Canis lupus familiaris: one gene and its partners. The protein of the gene in region 3 purifies or fractionates together with the protein of the main gene of each other region. This does not show direct contact. Links are inferred from orthologs where the notes say so. Each region holds a gene or a part of one and is shown on either strand. Other genes may lie near its edges.

Evidence for each region. Proteins that work in one complex are often made in the same cells at the same time.
Region 1: the proteins of MEPCE (region 3) and SNRPG purify together in Homo sapiens (affinity purification with mass spectrometry; 3 studies listed by BioGRID and IntAct, counting the BioPlex papers as one, with this or other methods). This does not show direct contact. The link is inferred for Canis lupus familiaris from reciprocal best matches to the Homo sapiens genes MEPCE and SNRPG.
Region 2: the proteins of MEPCE (region 3) and HNRNPUL2 purify together in Homo sapiens (affinity purification with mass spectrometry; 3 studies listed by BioGRID and IntAct, with this or other methods). This does not show direct contact. The link is inferred for Canis lupus familiaris from reciprocal best matches to the Homo sapiens genes MEPCE and HNRNPUL2.
Region 4: the proteins of MEPCE (region 3) and HNRNPA1 purify together in Homo sapiens (affinity purification with mass spectrometry; 3 studies listed by BioGRID and IntAct, counting the BioPlex papers as one, with this or other methods). This does not show direct contact. The link is inferred for Canis lupus familiaris from reciprocal best matches to the Homo sapiens genes MEPCE and HNRNPA1.

The regions. Positions count from the first base shown.
Region 1 is NC_049231.1:70,134,650-70,139,091, forward strand, and holds the start of SNRPG (small nuclear ribonucleoprotein G), read right to left. Parts: upstream 3,196-4,442; 5' UTR 3,144-3,195; coding exon 3,112-3,143; intron 1-3,111. UniProt on the Homo sapiens protein: Plays a role in pre-mRNA splicing as a core component of the spliceosomal U1, U2, U4 and U5 small nuclear ribonucleoproteins (snRNPs), the building blocks of the spliceosome.
Region 2 is NC_049239.1:54,460,502-54,464,913, reverse strand, and holds the start of HNRNPUL2 (heterogeneous nuclear ribonucleoprotein U-like protein 2), read right to left. Parts: upstream 3,196-4,412; 5' UTR 3,166-3,195; coding exon 2,625-3,165; intron 721-2,624; coding exon 585-720; intron 307-584; coding exon 230-306; intron 8-229; coding exon 1-7.
Region 3 is NC_049227.1:9,179,779-9,182,811, reverse strand, and holds the end of MEPCE (7SK snRNA methylphosphate capping enzyme), read left to right. Parts: intron 1-1,103; coding exon 1,104-1,322; intron 1,323-1,495; coding exon 1,496-1,622; intron 1,623-1,726; coding exon 1,727-1,779; 3' UTR 1,780-2,331; downstream 2,332-3,033. UniProt on the Homo sapiens protein: S-adenosyl-L-methionine-dependent methyltransferase that adds a methylphosphate cap at the 5'-end of 7SK snRNA (7SK RNA), leading to stabilize it.
Region 4 is NC_049248.1:45,637,924-45,642,340, reverse strand, and holds the start of HNRNPA1 (heterogeneous nuclear ribonucleoprotein A1), read right to left. Parts: upstream 3,196-4,417; 5' UTR 2,943-3,195; coding exon 2,928-2,942; intron 2,377-2,927; coding exon 2,260-2,376; intron 1,953-2,259; coding exon 1,806-1,952; intron 1,677-1,805; coding exon 1,466-1,676; intron 1,368-1,465; coding exon 1,275-1,367; intron 1,179-1,274; coding exon 1,086-1,178; intron 825-1,085; coding exon 750-824; intron 557-749; coding exon 398-556; intron 1-397. UniProt on the Homo sapiens protein: Involved in the packaging of pre-mRNA into hnRNP particles, transport of poly(A) mRNA from the nucleus to the cytoplasm and modulation of splice site selection.

The DNA.
Region 1 (4,442 bases), on a different chromosome or scaffold from region 3:
GGTTAGTACCAAAACCAAAGTTGTAAGGAAATTAGAAGATAATCAAACCATATCCAATTCAATAGCTATTTTATTTTATATTTGAGACAATAAGGAGTGTTGTTTTAATATTAAGCATCATACTTAGGTGTTCAAGATATTCCTCAACACATAAATATTTTATAGCAAAATAAATACAGATTTTGAAGCCTTAAAAAATCTGAATGGGGAAATCCCATCTCAGCAGTGTTATGGGAGCATGAAGTCATGCAGTCAAATGAGTTTTTACCCCTTCCAGTTACAGGCTAGAAAATATGACATTTCATGCAATTTTTAAAGATTTGTTCAATGGCACCTGGATGACTCAGTGATTCAAGCGTCTGCCTTTGGCTCAGGTCATGATCCCAGGATCCTGGGATTGAGTCTCACAAAGGGCTCCCTGCTCAGTAGGGAGTCTGCTTCTCCCTCTACCCCTCTCCCTGCTCATGTTCTCTCAAATAAATAAACAAAAATCTTTAAAAAAAATTTGAGAGAGCACTTGCAAAAGTGGGGTAGGGGCAAAGAGAGAGACTATCAAGCAGACTCCTTGATGAGCGTGGAGACCCACAGGGGGCTCCATCTCACCACCCATGAGATCATGATCTGAGCTGACACCAAGAGTTGGACACCTAACCAACCGAGCCATTCAAGCACCCCTGAAATTTCATGCAATTTTAATGTATGAGAGAATTCAAAGGTAAGTTAAGACACAGGCCTGGGGCACCTGGGTGGCGCCTCCTTTGAGCACCTGAGTTTTGGCTTAGGTCATGATCTTGGGTTGTGAGATGGAGCCTCAAGTAGGGCTCCATGCTCAGTGCAGAGTCTGCTTGTCCCTCTCCCTCTGTTCCTCCCCTCACATGCTCTCTAATAAATGAAACCTTAAAAAAAAAACACCCCAAAATACGTTGTAGTATATATAAAATAATTTAATAGGATATATATAAAAGACAGCAAATAGAACACATATGAACTTATTTAGCCCTAAGTGAGATCTTGTTATTATCACTATTTTACAGATGAGGAACCAAGGGTCAGAAAGATTTTCTAAAGTCACATAGTAAGAAAGTTTGAGCAAATGCAAATGGTTCATTTTGGCTGTAGAATGGGATACTCCACACTAGTGTGTGTCATATTTGGCACCTTGCATTTCAGATGGAAGAGCCTGAACGCCGTGCCAACAAGTCTACACTTTACTGTTCAGATAGTCATAAATTATTAAAGCAGAGTCCAGTCATTGGCAATACCACCATGGCAGTGATTTTTAGGAAGTGGGATGGAGAATTTGGTTAGGTCTCAGTATCTCCACCCCGGCCTAGTAACATCTGGGGCCAGGTAACTCTGTTGAGTGATGTCCAGCGCGTTGTACAATGTTCAGCAGCATCTCTAGCTTCTACTCACTAGCGGCCTGCCAGTAGAAACAGGCTCCCTACCCCACAGTTAAGAACCACTGAATTAAGCTAAACCAGGAGGAGGGCATAAAAGAGTAGAAAATATCTGTGAAGAAATAAAAGAGAAAAAAAATTGAAGGTCATTTTGGAGGATGGTCTCAAAGTACATGAGATCGAGAGATGAGAGAAATTATTAAAACCAGTTTCATCCTGTGAAATTCTCAAATATCTGTTAAGAAACAAAAGCACCTGTTAAGAAATGAAAAAGGTAATCTAAGATTACAAGTAGAGGATGGTTCTTTTGCTAAAAATAATTAGCATCTCACCAGTTCGTGAAGAACCCAGAGAATACTTCTAAGGTTTTGCCAAGTCGTCAAGGAAAGAGAGTTTTAGACAGAACTCCAAAATAAGTTGTATTTTTCTTAACGTCGGGCTCACGATGAACACTTCAACAGACCCAGCTAAAATACACGGAGTTCTTGCACAAAAAATGGCTTTGATACAAATATGCATTTCAATGTAAAACTATTTTTTTTCTTTAAAAGATTTACTTGAGAGCGAGAACCAGAGAGAGAGAGAGAGTGCGCGTGCGAGCGAGCAGGCGAGCAGTGGGGAGGGGGCAGAGAAGGAGGAGACACACCAAGCCGACTCCACGCTGAGCCCAGAGCCCACCGGGGCTGATCTCACCAGCAGATCAGGATCTGGGCTGAAACCAAGAGTGGGACCCTTAACCGACTGACCACCAAGGCGCCCCTAAATGCACAATTTCCTGGGCAGCCCGGGGGTGGGGGGGGGTGGGGCTCAGCGGTTGTGCGGCTGCCTTTGGCTCAGGTCGTGACCCCAAGGTTCTGGGATCGAGTCCTGCGTCGGGCTCCCTGCATGGAGCCCGCTTCTCCCTCTGCCTGTGTCTCAAATAAATAATAAAAAAAATCTTAAAAAAAAAAAAAAAAAGCACAATTACTAAATACGGCTTTTTCTTGCAGTCTGACTCCTCCACGAGGCTGGCAGGACGTGACCCACGCACAGGGCGGACGGCTGTTTCACAAAGCGACCCCCGGGTCCCGTTCTCCTGTTCTGCGCTACCACGTGCAGAAATCCTGGGACTGCGCGGCGGACACGAGACGGAGGCACTCGGGAGGCCCTGCACACGCTCGGCCCAGCGTCCCCGAGCCCGGGCCCACGCAAGTAGGAACATCCGGTTTTGAGGGGATTTTTACTGGATGCAGGAAAAAAGAAAAAAACTTACTTTTCTTGGATTAAAAAAAAAGAAAAAAATGAACGTTCCCCCACAGCGCTGTTAACAGATCACGTGACATCCAAGTCTTAACTTCTGCACAAGATCAAAAAAAAATTTATTTTTTTTAAATTTTCATCTATTCATGAGAGACCCAGAGAGAGAGAGAGAGACAGAGAGACACAGAGAGAGAGAGAGAGGCGCAGAGACCCGGGCGGAGGGAGGAGCAGGCTCCACGCAGGGAGCCCGACGCGGGCCTCGAACCCGTGACCCCGGGTCACGCCCTGGGCCGCGGGCGGCGCTAACCCCGCTGGGCCCCCGGGCGCCCCGGAGGGAGATTCCGAGAACAGAGCTCAAGGAAACCGCCGCCCCGCCCCGTCCTCGCGCCCCGCGGAGCCGCTCTGCCGCCCCCCGAGCGGGGCCCCGGCGCACGGACGCCGCCACCCGCACGCGGCCCTCCCGCGTACTCACTTTTTCAGCTCGGGAGGGTGAGCCTTGCTCATGGCGCCGACTCGGCGAGCTCGCAGAGGCCTCCACACGGCTCCCTCACGCTCCCGCCGCTTGGCGCCTGACGTCACCGGCCCCCGCCGCCAATCAAACGCCGGCAGAGGTCACATTCCCTCCCGCGATACTTTGAGGGCGCCCCCGGACTTGCCGAACGCCCGCGAGTTTCCGGTTGCGTTGCCAGCGATTGGCCTGCATGGGGCTACATGGGGTGGGACTTCCGGTCGCCTCCTCAATTCCGTTTCCTGATTGGTGAAACTGACGTAAGGGCTGGGTCTCTAAGTCGTCGGCGCAGCTGGCGGATCCCTCGCTTTGCGACCTGCGCGGGTTAGCGTCCTCGCACGTGCCCAGTGCGCACGCGCTCGGGAGGGCTGGGCTCTGGTCCTGCCAAGGTCGATCAGCCTGCGGTGCCCCCGCATCGGGCGCTCTGCTCCTCCCTTCTGCCTGTGTCTCTCGTTAATAAATAAAATCTTAAAAAAAAAAAAAAAAAAAAAAAAGACTTAGGCCTCGGTGATTCTGAGTAGAGGATGATTCTCCAAAATTCAGTTCCTCCCTAATGTCCAGGAATGGCTCTATTTAAATACGAATAAAAGACTGAGCCTCATTCTAGCACTCAAAATCCTACAGGTGGCATTTGCCCAACTTCCCACCTCTCGCTGCTTACAAGCAGCTACGGTCCCGAAATGGATGGTTTAGCCTTCCCACGGTTATTTTTACATTAATGGACTCCGAGTCCCAGGGCCTTAGCTTGTCCTGTTTTCCCCCATTTACAATGAACCAGTCCCGCGTCTGAATCACAGCGAGTTTTTACTCTTCACGACGTCTTCAGACACTTATTTTACACATTACAAAGAGAAGCATCCTAAGAAAGTTGTAGATTCACTGCTCGCATACGAGAGACGCCGTAGTGGAGGAAAAAACTAAACCTTATTTATTTTTTAAAACTGAACCACTAGGAAAATAGATCACAGACTTGAGACACCCAACGCAGGCTATATCATCATTTCAAGTACTAAGTTGGTAAAAAGACAGTAAGGTCTTTATCAAAATGAAAAGGTGCTAGAGCTGGGGCAGGAACACGGCTTGCTGCAAAGGTCCTGGGGCAAGGGTGGCATTTGGTAATGGGGTGGGGGGTTGCCCCTCTTCTGCTTTAAAGGGATCACAGCCCACCCTTGAGTTGCCTACTTTTTCTCCTTTGACCTTCCTGTCACCAAGTGATTGTCTGAATAGGACTCTGTTATTTTGGGGGCAAAATAAGCAATACTGAGTTTAGGTTTTCATCCCATTCTGTTCCATAA
Region 2 (4,412 bases), on a different chromosome or scaffold from region 3:
GAGGTATCTGTTAGAAAGAAGCAGATCCAAAGTATCTGTTAGAAGCAATCTGTTTATTCCAAAGCCTGACACTTAAAAGCCACCAACAGAACACAAATAAACCTAGTTGTCAGGAATGGATACAAGTCTCCCATTGCTACATCTCTTAAAAATTGCAGGCCATGAAATTTTAACATCCAAAATCATCTCTGTATGGCTGAAAACCCCAACCTATCTGCCTTATACATACACGTGTCCAGGTTCACAAGAGTTTCATCCTCCTCCTCCTCTTTTGCCTCTTCTTCAGGGGGTGGTGGAGACTTTGAGCTATGGGTATGAGAAAAAAGCAAATACAGTGTATCCAAAGTCCTCTTCCTTAATGGGTGTCTGTATAACGTTTTAAACTATCAGTGAATACAAAATTCCAAAAGACAGCTTCTTTCAACAATGAAAACAGCAACAGGAGCTTTCAGAACAGATTCAATCTAAAACTTATACCTATAAAAGCCTATTTGATTTTAGATCCACCCCTCTCTCCAATCAACATCAGGTATATCAAAATCAGAGCAGACACTCCTTTCAACGAAAGGGGCTGTTTCCCTCACCGGCTGTGGTAAGCCTCCTCTCGGAATTCATAGTAAGCTCGGCCATGTTCATCCTTCTCATCCCGCTGTCTCTTTACCCCCCGCCGCTCACCATCTGAGCCTGCTGGTTTTGACTTTTCACTATCTTGGTCATCTCCTACAAAAAGGAGGGAAAGAAAATCAGCAGTTTTCATACTGGAGTGTAGAATAAGCTCAGAACCAATAGAAACTAAAAAGGGATCTGAGTATCTATCTAATCAGAATAGCCAGGTTATTCCCACTGCATCCACAGAACGTTTATTTCTAAAGATCATCCTCCTGTCATTGACTGGTACTTTAGAAAAAAGGACGGACATTATGATTATGAGCTAATTACAGTCGAGCAGTAGATAAAAATTGGACAATTTTTGCATTCTAAATTTATCTACTTAAATCAGGTCAAACCTGCAGATTTTCCCACCAATATGACATCTTTAAAAATCCCCTAAGTCTTTAAAAATTTCATAGGTTAATTTAGACTCTTGTCAAATTTCAATGTAAGCTAGGCACTTAATATACATTTTCCATCACTCTTCAGCAGCTTCATGATATAGATGTCTCAATATGTGTGTGTGTGTGTGTTTTAAAGAGTTTGCCTTTCTAGCTTAGAATGCACAGCCCTTCGCAGCATTTACTTATACAGCAAATGGACTCAGGTGCATATACAAAGCTATATTTTTACCATGGGCTTTACTGAAAGTTGTCAAGGGCAAACCATTAAGTCACAAGAGACCCATAAATAATACTGCATCTTTACTGCACATAATTTGGGGCAGAAAGGTGTTATCATATATTTAGCAACATTCTCTGCAAGAGGAAAAAAATCTGAAAATTTTCCTTAGTTTGTAAAACAAGCGTTTAAAATAATAATTTATTTAAAGCGGTCTTTTCTCTCTCAAAACCTTTTTTATCTGCTATTTGGGATACACGTTAAGTCAAAGGTTATGTAATGGGATTTTTGTTCCAGGACACAGAGCAAACAATCTGCAAGTTGCATGTGACTGTCTTAGAATGGGTTCCAATTATACCATGATTACTAATAGCAGCCTAAAAAAAATCTCTTATAAGAACTAAGGCAACCCACTTCATAGTAAGACTCGGAAACAGCTCTAGTTTTCCTGCCTACTCGGACAGACAGGTACGGATCAGCTCTAACCATCCAACCACTTCAAAAGAAAAGAGAAAGGTCACTAACTCCCTGGGGCAATTCCACACATTTTCTTCCCAGGTTACTCAATGGAGCCACCAACACCTCAATCGTTTCAATTCAGGAAGTCAGGGACCTAAAATGTAAAAGACTAACCAAGTGTGCAGCAAATCCACACATTTTCCCATCCATGGACTCAGTGAAAAGATTTAAATTTAATCATAAGAATTCAGACAAGATAAAACCTCTAGCCAAGAGGGTTGGCTAGTTCTAAATGCACTAGATTAAGACCGTCTCTTCACTAGTTAACTATTAAACTCCATAGCCTCACACCACAGGCTGCTAAAGCAGGAGCAAGGTTAGACTTACAGATTCACCGTGTGGCTCAAGCTCCAGCAATGGGATGGAGCGAACTTTAGCGAACTTAGACTATTGCTCAATATTTTTAAAACGGAAATATCAATACTCAGGTAACCCAAAGGCCAAAGCCTCCAACAGTCCGGTCTGGCCGTCCGTGTAAGCACCAATCTCTCAGCGCATTCCCGCTTAAGGAAGAGATAACCAATACCGCGACAGGCTGCTCCACAGGTAGCTCACAAGCAGTTCGCATGCAAAATTACTTCCATCCACTACCACTAAGGAACCAAGTTAGGCAGGAACGTCTCTCCTGCAGAGAGCGGGGCCACCAGGGGCAGTCAAACCCTCCAGCAAGGTGGGCCAAGAATGAAAGCCAACTCCCCTGGGAACTCCCACCAAAAGGCGCCGGGAATCTTGCGCTTCCAGGCAATTGAGAACAAGGAATCGGACCCCGCGGTGCACGGCTGAGTGCTGGATCGGGGGCAGTTTGGGGACGGGCTCCGCTGCCAGCTCCTCACCCTGTTCCTCTGCGGCCTTGTCACCCGGCGCCTCGGATCCCGGCGTCTCATCCCCGCTCCGCTCCTCTGGCTCGTCTTCCTCCCCCTTGCCGGTGCCCTGCTCTTCGCCACCATTTACCCCACCTGACCCAGCCGTGGCCTCCTCCGCCGGCTTCTCGGAAGCATCGGGCTCGGCCGCGGCCTCCATGGCTGCCGCCTCCGGGGGCTCCGGCGGCGGCTGCGCGGCCTGGCCCGACGCCTGGGCAGGGGGTGGCTCTTCGTCCTCGTCCTCAAGCAGCGCCTCCTCGTCCTCCTCCTCCTCCTCTTCGTCGTCCTCCTCGTCCCCGCCCGGGCCACCGCCCGACGCGGCCACAGGCCGAGGCTCCGCCTTGCAGGCCCCGCCGGGCCCGGCCCCGCCACCGCCGGCCTCGTCCTCCAGCATCTCGGCGTCTAGCGCCTCCTGCAGCCGCTGCGCCAGATCTACCTTGAGGCCGCGCGAGTCCAGGCCCCGCCGCTGCAGCTCCGACCGCAGCTCGGTCACTTTCAGCCGCTTCACCTCCATCGCCGCCGCCGCCGCCTCCTCCGCCTCCCGCCGCCTCCTCCCCTGCGAACCGTCGACCGAGCCCGACCGCGCAGGCGCCGCCGCCGCCCGCCTCCGCCTCACGCGCCAGCACTGAGCCCGCGCGAGCGAGCGCACGCACGTACGCACGCAGGCAGGCAGCGAAGGCCGCGCGCAGCCGCTGCGACGTAGGGTTTGTTTCTCCCTCCTCCTCCCCTCCCCCTTTCGGCTCCCCGAGCCCGAAACAACGCAACGGGGAACTGCTTCCCTTCCTGCCCCCTCGATTTCCCTGCCGCGGGCGGGCGCGCGCCGAGGACGACGGACTTCCCTCCCCTTCCCTCCCCTTCCCTCCCGCCCCCTCTCACCCCTGGGCCAATCGCCGCCAGTGGTTTCACCGCGCAGCCGCACCGGAGCGGGAGACGGGGAAGCCTGGCTACAGTTCAAGTGCCTCGTAGCACCGAGGCGTGTGCGCGCCCGCCCGCCTTCCCGAACTTCCAGCCCCGGGCTCTGCGCAGCCGCGGGGGAGCTCCCTTCCCACTCGCCCCTCCCACCCCGTCACCACCCTTACTCCCGTCTGGCTTCCGATCGCGCGGTCGTCTTAGGGCTTGTTTGCTAGTCTTTCTAGCCTACCGCCTAAACGTGCAGCAACTACTTGAGAAAAAGAAAAAGGAGGGCAGCTGTTGCAACGTGAAAGCCTACTAGCAACTGTCTTCCTGTTTGGTACACAAAGGGCTTCCCCAAACCAAGGAATACAGTGATCCCGGGGCCCTCTTCTCGCAATCCTTCACTTTCTCTACCCAGCAACAGACGCCCGGACCTCGCCATTTAGCCTTCCCATTGGCCAACTTGAATCGACATCTGCAATTCTGATTGGTCGTGCATGATCGTCCGGATTCTTCCAATTGGCTAAGCTGCCAGGAGGACTTTTTTTTTGCCGGGTTGTTCCGTAGGGGGACTGGAGAGAGTCGGGGTCGTGTCTGAGGGATTCCTTTTCCTTTTTTTTTTTTTTTTTTAAATAATAAAATTGGTGTTCAATTTACCGACATACAGAATAGCCCCCAGTGCTCATCCCGTCAGGTGCCCCCCTAAGTGCCCATCACCCATTCCCCCCCACCCCCCGCCCTCCTCCCCTTCCACCACCCCTAGGCCGTTTCCCGGAGTCAGGAGTCTCTCTGTTCTGGGATTACTTTTCCGAAGCCGCTTTTGATTGGGCGGCGTGGCGCAATGCGCGCCTCCCCTTAGACGCCAAA
Region 3 (3,033 bases):
TGTACTCTGCCAGGAGAACCAGATCTTCAGGGATCTGAATCGTGACTGACAGTGTCTCCCCCCGCCCCATAACCTGGAAACATGGGGGCTCTACCTAGGCTCCTTTGTCATGACTACTGGTCCCAAGATGGGGTTTGACTCCTTTTGCCCTGCTCCTGTCCTGGACTGTAATCCACACCAGTCCACCTTCCCTTGCAGGCTGCTCCTGCTGCTCACTAGATTTGGTTCAGTTGGAAAGTTTTCTCAACGCACTGAATGCAGGTGCATGAAGGGATAGGTGTCAGACATGGAATGTTTTGGGGTGGGAGGAGGAATAGGGTGGTGGCTGACTAATACTTTGATAGGGACTTAGATCCAGAGTTGGTTGAAGAGTTGGTGGTCAGGACCCCAAGTAGTTTGGCCATAGGTCATCTCATGATGACCTGAGATCGTGAGATGGGGAGAGTCGGAGTCCTCTGTAACCGGGAAGGGTAGTCTTCAGAGTGTCTGTTCCCTGACTGTACATAGCTCTCCATAAAATACTCCAGTTAAGCCAACTGGTGGTGGCAGGTTGGGTTAAGCTTGCAAAAATGACTTTGCAGATGTTGATGAATTTATCATCTAGAAAAGGCTTCCTAAGGGCTGGGACTCTTCACTTCTCTTGGAGAAAGGAAATAGGCCTGGAACTTTGCCAACCTTGATTCCAGGGAAGGAACCACAGGTTGGTTCCCTTTCAAACCTGGGTTAGGAACCTTTGCAAAACATTGGGTCACTCAGCTTAATGTTTGCAGGGTGGGAATAAGTACTAGATGGACTCAGGAGAACCCTCATTTTTTTCCTCTGATGTTTCACCCCAGTTTGGAGACCTCTTTTGGGTAACTTGGTCAATGTAAAATGATCCACACTCCCTTTTTATGTTTGGCTTATCACCACCAGAAAGCAGGGGCAGGAGGATGTAAAGCAAGAAAATGAGGCTGGGAGTTAGTCTGACAAATGTCAGAGAAGGTTGTGGCCAAGGGCTAAGGCTGTAGGACTTTCTGTTTTGGAGGCTGCTGAGCAGGTTGTGTGGAGGCAGTGGTTCTTTTATTGCCTCTGTTGACCTTGCCCCCAATTCTTGCCCTCAGGGTAACTATGTGCTGGATCGAGATGAGCTGGTGGAGGCCCAAACACCTGAGTATGATGTGGTGCTCTGCCTCAGCCTCACCAAGTGGGTGCATCTGAACTGGGGAGATGAGGGGCTAAAGCGCATGTTTCGCCGAATCTACCGGCATCTACATCCTGGGGGCATCCTGGTCCTAGAGCCCCAACCTTGGTCATCCTACAGCAAGAGAAAGACTCTGACGGTGAGTTGGGAATTGGGTGGATATTGGGATATCCTTCTTTTAGTTGGGGCAAGAAAGGCCTCAAGAAAGGAGGAATACTTTCTGAACAAGGTGGACAGGTTCCCTGGGTGGGCATCACTGTACACCAGGGAAGAAGCCAACAGGCTGACGTGGTCCCCTGCCCTTCTGCCTAGGAAACAATCTATAAGAACTACTATCGAATCCAGCTGAGGCCAGAGCACTTCAGTTCCTACCTGACATCCCCAGAGGTGGGCTTCTCCAGCTATGAGCTTGTGGCTACACCCCACAACACTTCCAGAGGTAAGGTTGGCTGACCTGGGGGAGGCGGGGAGGGGATGGTAAGGCAGATGCTGTGGAGTCTTGGAGTTCTGCCAACCCTTCCTGATTGCACATTCTCTCCTCAGGCTTCCAGCGTTCTGTGTACCTGTTCCACAAGGCCCGTTCCCCCAGCCACTGAGTGGCCCCCTGAACAGAAAAGTGTGAAGAAGTTGCCCACTGCTCTTAAGGACCTGGGGGAAAAGGAAAGTATCTCAAAGTCTTTCCTTTTGGCTCCAAAAATTGTTTCCTTTCATGGATCTGCAAAGAAAGCTTTTCCTACGTTGCTGCCCCAGCCTCCTCCCTACACCTCTGGCATCTAAGCAGCAAGCCCAGCTGTGCTGGAGTTACCGACATCTTCCTCTCTCCCCCAGCTCACTGGGCTGGATGGCATGGACTGTTTGCTGACCTCTGTTCTCCTAGGGTATGGGAGGTGGGCGGTATCAAGTTCTCTGGCCTCTTCCTCCTGCTCTCCAAAGGAGATTCCCCTTTCTCCTCAGCCCTTGTCCCTGGCTGTTGTTGCAATGGACCACAGATAGATGGACTGAGGGTTAAGTGAAGGGGAAGTTTGGCAGGGAGGCATGCAGGTACTGTGAAAATCCTTCCCTCTGCTCACCTCCATTGGGAGAGGGGGTTGGGTTTGGAATGTAAGAACAGCACAATAAATTTGATGTTTCAGGCAGTGGCCCCCACACTTGTGTCTGGCACTTTCTACCTAGTGGGAAAGGGTTAGTGCCTCCCAAAACACCTGGGTTTCCTCTGCCCAAACTGGAGTCTCAAGAATTAAGGACAGATTTTTCAGTGGTTGGGAAGATTGAGTGTTGAATGCTAGTCACATCTATACACAATGAGTCAGAACTCTAATCAAGAAGGAGAGGTATAATGTGAATTTTATGTGAAACTTAAGAGTTCATCTCCCCTCCCCCAAAAATGCATTGACAAGAATGTTTTGTGGGAGCGCGGGACAAAGGCTAACTTTGGAAGAATTAACAGTGGAGCTAAAAAAAGGCACTACTGAACAGACCTTCCCACCTGCTCCAGGGACACCCCCTCCCCCCCTTTTCTGTGATGTGCAATTAGATGACTAGGTAATTAACATGAAACTCTTCAGCATGTCCAGTGTTCTTGGGACTTTGATACTCACTTAGCAAATACTGAGCACTCCTGGATCTGGTGTAAACATGGACAAGGCTCTTCCAAGTAAAGACAAGGATGTAATTTCAATAACTGGGTGCAAATAGCTACTGCCTCTCAGGCTCCTGGAGCCAGGTAATTAAGAAAGAAGGACTCCTTGAAGCCTAACAGACTGAGACTCATCCACGTGTTAGTGATGAGAAAGAAGTAGTGCAAGGGCGCATGAGTGGCTCAGTGGGTTGAGCATCAGGCTCTGGATGGA
Region 4 (4,417 bases), on a different chromosome or scaffold from region 3:
TCCAGTGTTTTTAAAAAGATTCACCCACAAATTATCATGGCATTAACAGATCGTATTCTCTAGCCTCGAAGGCTTGTACCCATCCAGGGCACTGCAAACACAGGCTGGATCTATCAACCAAGTGCCTAAGATCCCAAAGGAGTCATATACTAAATCCTGCTGGAAACTAATCTAATTCTGATTAAAGGCACCACTATCCACTTATCCATCTATCTTATTTGGGAGTGAGGCGGCCCCAGCTTAAAGCTAGGAGGAGGTAGCATTAGCAAGCCCATTAAAAAATACCATGCATCGTACCACATGATGCTTTTTAAGAGCATTAAATCCCCTTAGGGACATAAACTCTAAAGGGCTAATCTAGCTTTTGCACCAAGTACTTGGATCACTGGATACCTACCACTACCACCGCCATAGCCGCCTCCGCCTCCTCCGTTGTTATAGCTGTCATAGCTGCCACTCCCGCCATAGCCACTGCCCTGGTTTCCATAACCCTGTCCACCACTTCCATAGCCTCTGCTTCCTCCAGAGTAACCAGGGCCGCCTCCTCCATAACCACCTACAAGAATACAATTCTTCTCAATAAGACAAAAGTATTTCACAGTCAAAACCTGTGCAAGTGTAATGCCTAAAAGCCTGCTCACAGCATGCTGTTATCAGAGCTGTTTATCATGCACTAGTTTAGCTCTACTAACCTAGTCTAAAGGTTGCCAAACGAAACTCCACCTATATATTCCTTAAAATAAACTTACCGTCATTACCAAATCCGTTATAGCCATCCCCACTGCCACCATATCCACCACCACCTCGACTGCCACCGAAGCCACCTGAAAGAAAGTAGAGTTTTAAACCACCATGAAGTGTACAGAGTATACGTGTTCTATGTTGTTTTAAAGTAGAATTCTATAAAGATACTTCCTGTGCTACAAAAATGATCCCAATGTTGATGATTTAACTTTCTGGTTAGTAAAAAGCCAGATCTACACTTGGATAAAATTTAAGCCAGGAGTTAATCTGCTGCAGAGGAAAAAGGGACCTGGGGATAATCAAAGTATAAATTTATTGTTAACTTTGAGTGGTAAACTTACCTCGACCACTGAAGTTCCCTCCACGACCAAAGTTGTCATTCCCACCAAAACCACCTCCACGACCACCACCAAAGTTTCCAGAACCACTTCGGCCTTAAAACACAAAAGTTTTAAATGTTACATTATACGGATTGGAGAATCACTCAGTTAATTAATCCTCACGTGCAAGGATTAACTGAACAAACGCACCTCTTTGGCTGGACGAAGCACTAGCCATCTCTTGCTTCGATAGGGCTTTCCTTACTTCACAGTTGTGGCCATTCACAGTATGGTATTTTTGAACTAAAAAAAAAAAAAAAATTCCAAGAGAACATGACCTCAGGCTTTAGAACGTAACATGGATTTCAGAAGCCGTAGCAAAGAGCATGCCCGACACTTACTGACAATCTTGTCTACAGAGTCGTGGTCATCAAAGGTCACAAAAGCGAAACCTCTCTTTTTGCCACTGCCTCGGTCAGTCATGATCTCAATCACTTCGATTTTCCCATACTGTTCAAAATAATCTCTTAGATGATGTTCTTCAGTGTCTTCTTTAATGCCACCGACAAAAATCTTTTTCACAGTTAAGTGGGCACCGGGTCTTTGAGAATCCTATTGTTGGGGGGGGGGACGGGACGGACACAATTCCGTTATTTACACCGACCAAGCCACCCCTAACCGCGAGGTCCCCTTGGCGGCCCGCTTCTGCGTCTGCCCAGGAAAGAATAAACCCTCACTCACTTCTCGGGAGACAGCCCTCTTTGGTTCCACGACTCTTCCGTCCACCTTGTGCGGCCGGGCGTTCATGGCCGCGTCCACCTCCTCCACGGTGGCGTACGTGACGAACCCAAAGCCTCTGGAGCGCTTGGTGTTGGGGTCTCTCATTACCTGAAAGGTGAGCTCCCTGAATACTGAGGAGAACCCCGGAACTTCTCACGCTGAGTTACAAATTAAAAAAAGAAAAAGAAAAAAAAAAAAAAAAAGAAAAGCGCGCCCCCTCCCCCCCCCCCCCGCCCGCCCACGAGGCCCTCCGGCTCCCCGGGGCCGCCACACGTGCATCTCCTCCCGGGAGCGCCTCCGCGGCTGGGACCACCCCTTCCGGCGCCGGCCGGCTCTCCGCCCCAGTCCCGTTAACCGCCGTCGGAGCGGCGGAAGCCACCTCGCTCCCGGGCCCTCCGTCTCCGGCACGTCTTACCACACAGTCCGTAAGCGTCCCCCATTGCTCAAAATGGCTCCTCAGACTCTCATCGGTCGTTTCGAAGCTCAAACCTCCGATGAAGAGTTTCCGCAGCTGCTCGGGCTCTTTGGGAGACTAGGAGCGGGGACACAGCTCGTTACGTGGCGCGCCCAACGCCCAGCCCCGTCCCGTTGGGAGGAAAATCCTAGACAGCAGCGTTACAAGGCACGTATTGTTCCCTCGGGTTACGGGAGGCCACGTGCTTCTCCCCTCGGGGGGGACCGAGCGGTGGGGGCTGGGAGGCCGCGGGCGCATGCGCCCCGACTCTCCCTCCGACGCACGCGCAACAAAAGGACTCGGCTGGACGGACGCCGAAGCGGCGGGGAACTACGGCTGCTCCGCAAGAAACTCGCTCCCGGAGACACGATCAAACAAAACCCGTCGAATGCGCCCGCGAGTTCTGCCGGGAGGGCGCAGCCCGGCGCCACAGCCAAGCGCTGCAGGACGGCGGCCTCATGGCGACGACGAGGACAAAATGGCGACCTCAACTTCGGGAGGGGAAGGCCCTGGCGGCCCCCGAAGGGCTGCCGAACGGGCTGGCGCGAGCGGCCACGCCAGGCCGCGTCCTACCGGCCCCAGGGAAGGAGTGAGGAAGGAAACTAGGCGGGAGACAGCGTGTTACTCACCTCTGACTTAGACATGACGGCGGTGGGAGGGGAGACTTTAACGATGCTTACTCGGCGGCGTCCAGGGGCAGAAAGGAGTAATCTAACGAACGTATCTGCCAGCCTACCTTCGGCCTCGCTTTTTTATCCCGCCTCCTCGCTTTAGGCATTGGTAGACTCCGCCCCTGAGCGTCTCTGATTGGATGTTTGCGATAGCCTCCCCCTGCTATTGGTCTATAGCCCCGCACTGCTGCGCAACGTCATCCGCTTGGGCGTTCTACGCAGGCTCCGCCCCTTCAGGTCTATTGGTTCCCGGGTAATATTATTCCTAATTACTGTGATTGGCTCGTCAACCAGTCATTCATATTTGAACGAACCTAAGGTATTTAAATGAATTTTCAATCCATTCCGCCCCGAAATTATGTTCCGCTCAGTTGGCGAAGCACGGTAAATGCTAATATATTACGAACGAGGTTATCAGGTGATTTTTTTTTCTTTTTTTTTTTTTTTGCAAACGACCGCCCGCCGGGCGCATGTGTAGTAAAATGGCGAGTTTACGCAGGCGCACTAACCAGTTCCGCTCGGCGCTTGGAGCACGTGAAATGGCGGGCGGGAGACGGCGGCGACTCTACGGCGCCTGCGTCGTGGCGGGAGTCGCGCCCCGCTCTGCGCAGGCGTAATGGGCGGAGAAAGGGTCCGGTCGCAGGATTGGCCGCGCAGGCGCAGGGAAGGATCCGTTTTGGCGGGCGGTTGGCGTTGCGCAGAAGGCGGCGGCGGCGGCGTCCCGTGGTCCGGCCTCGCCACAGAGGAACAGGGGAGGCGTTGGCGCGAGTGGCCGGTCTCGATTCCGGGTAAGCGGCGGATCGTCTCGCCTACTCATACGAGGTGTTGAACTGACTCCAATTGGGCCCGTTATTGTGTGAAATGAATGGAGCGCGGGGTGGGGGCTCGTAAAGGGGGAGCGCTGGGTTCAGCCAACCAATGGACGGCGGGGGCGGGATGTCTGCCGGCCGGGAGTGCCGTGGGGCTCCGCGGCCCGGAGTCTGACTGGCTTGCGCGCGGGCCAATCGGGTCCGCCTTTGCCGCCGACGGACGGGCCCTCGGGCCCTCGGGACGTGGGGGCGGGCCCTGCGCCCTGAGCAGCGTCCCGCCGAGCCAATGGGCGCCGAGCGCGCCGTAGGTTGGGCTCCTCGGAGGCGGCGGGCGGACTCCGAGGGGGAGGCCCCGCTGTGGAGCCGGCGGCGGGCGGCCTGCGGACGGCGCCCGGGCGGGTCGCCCAGTCAGCGGTGCGGAAGCGGGAGGCCTCGCTGCGGGCTGTGGAGGAGCGGGCGGGAGGGCGCGGGGGCGCGGGGGCGCGCGTTCTCTCCACAGTGGCCGCCGGCGCCCGGCGCTCGGGCCTTCACCCCACACGCGTTTCCGGTAGGGAGACCCTGACTCTGTGGCGTGTCGCTTCGGCTTCGGCATAACCGCTCCACGCGCTCGCGCACGCGCACGCGCACACGCACCCCGGG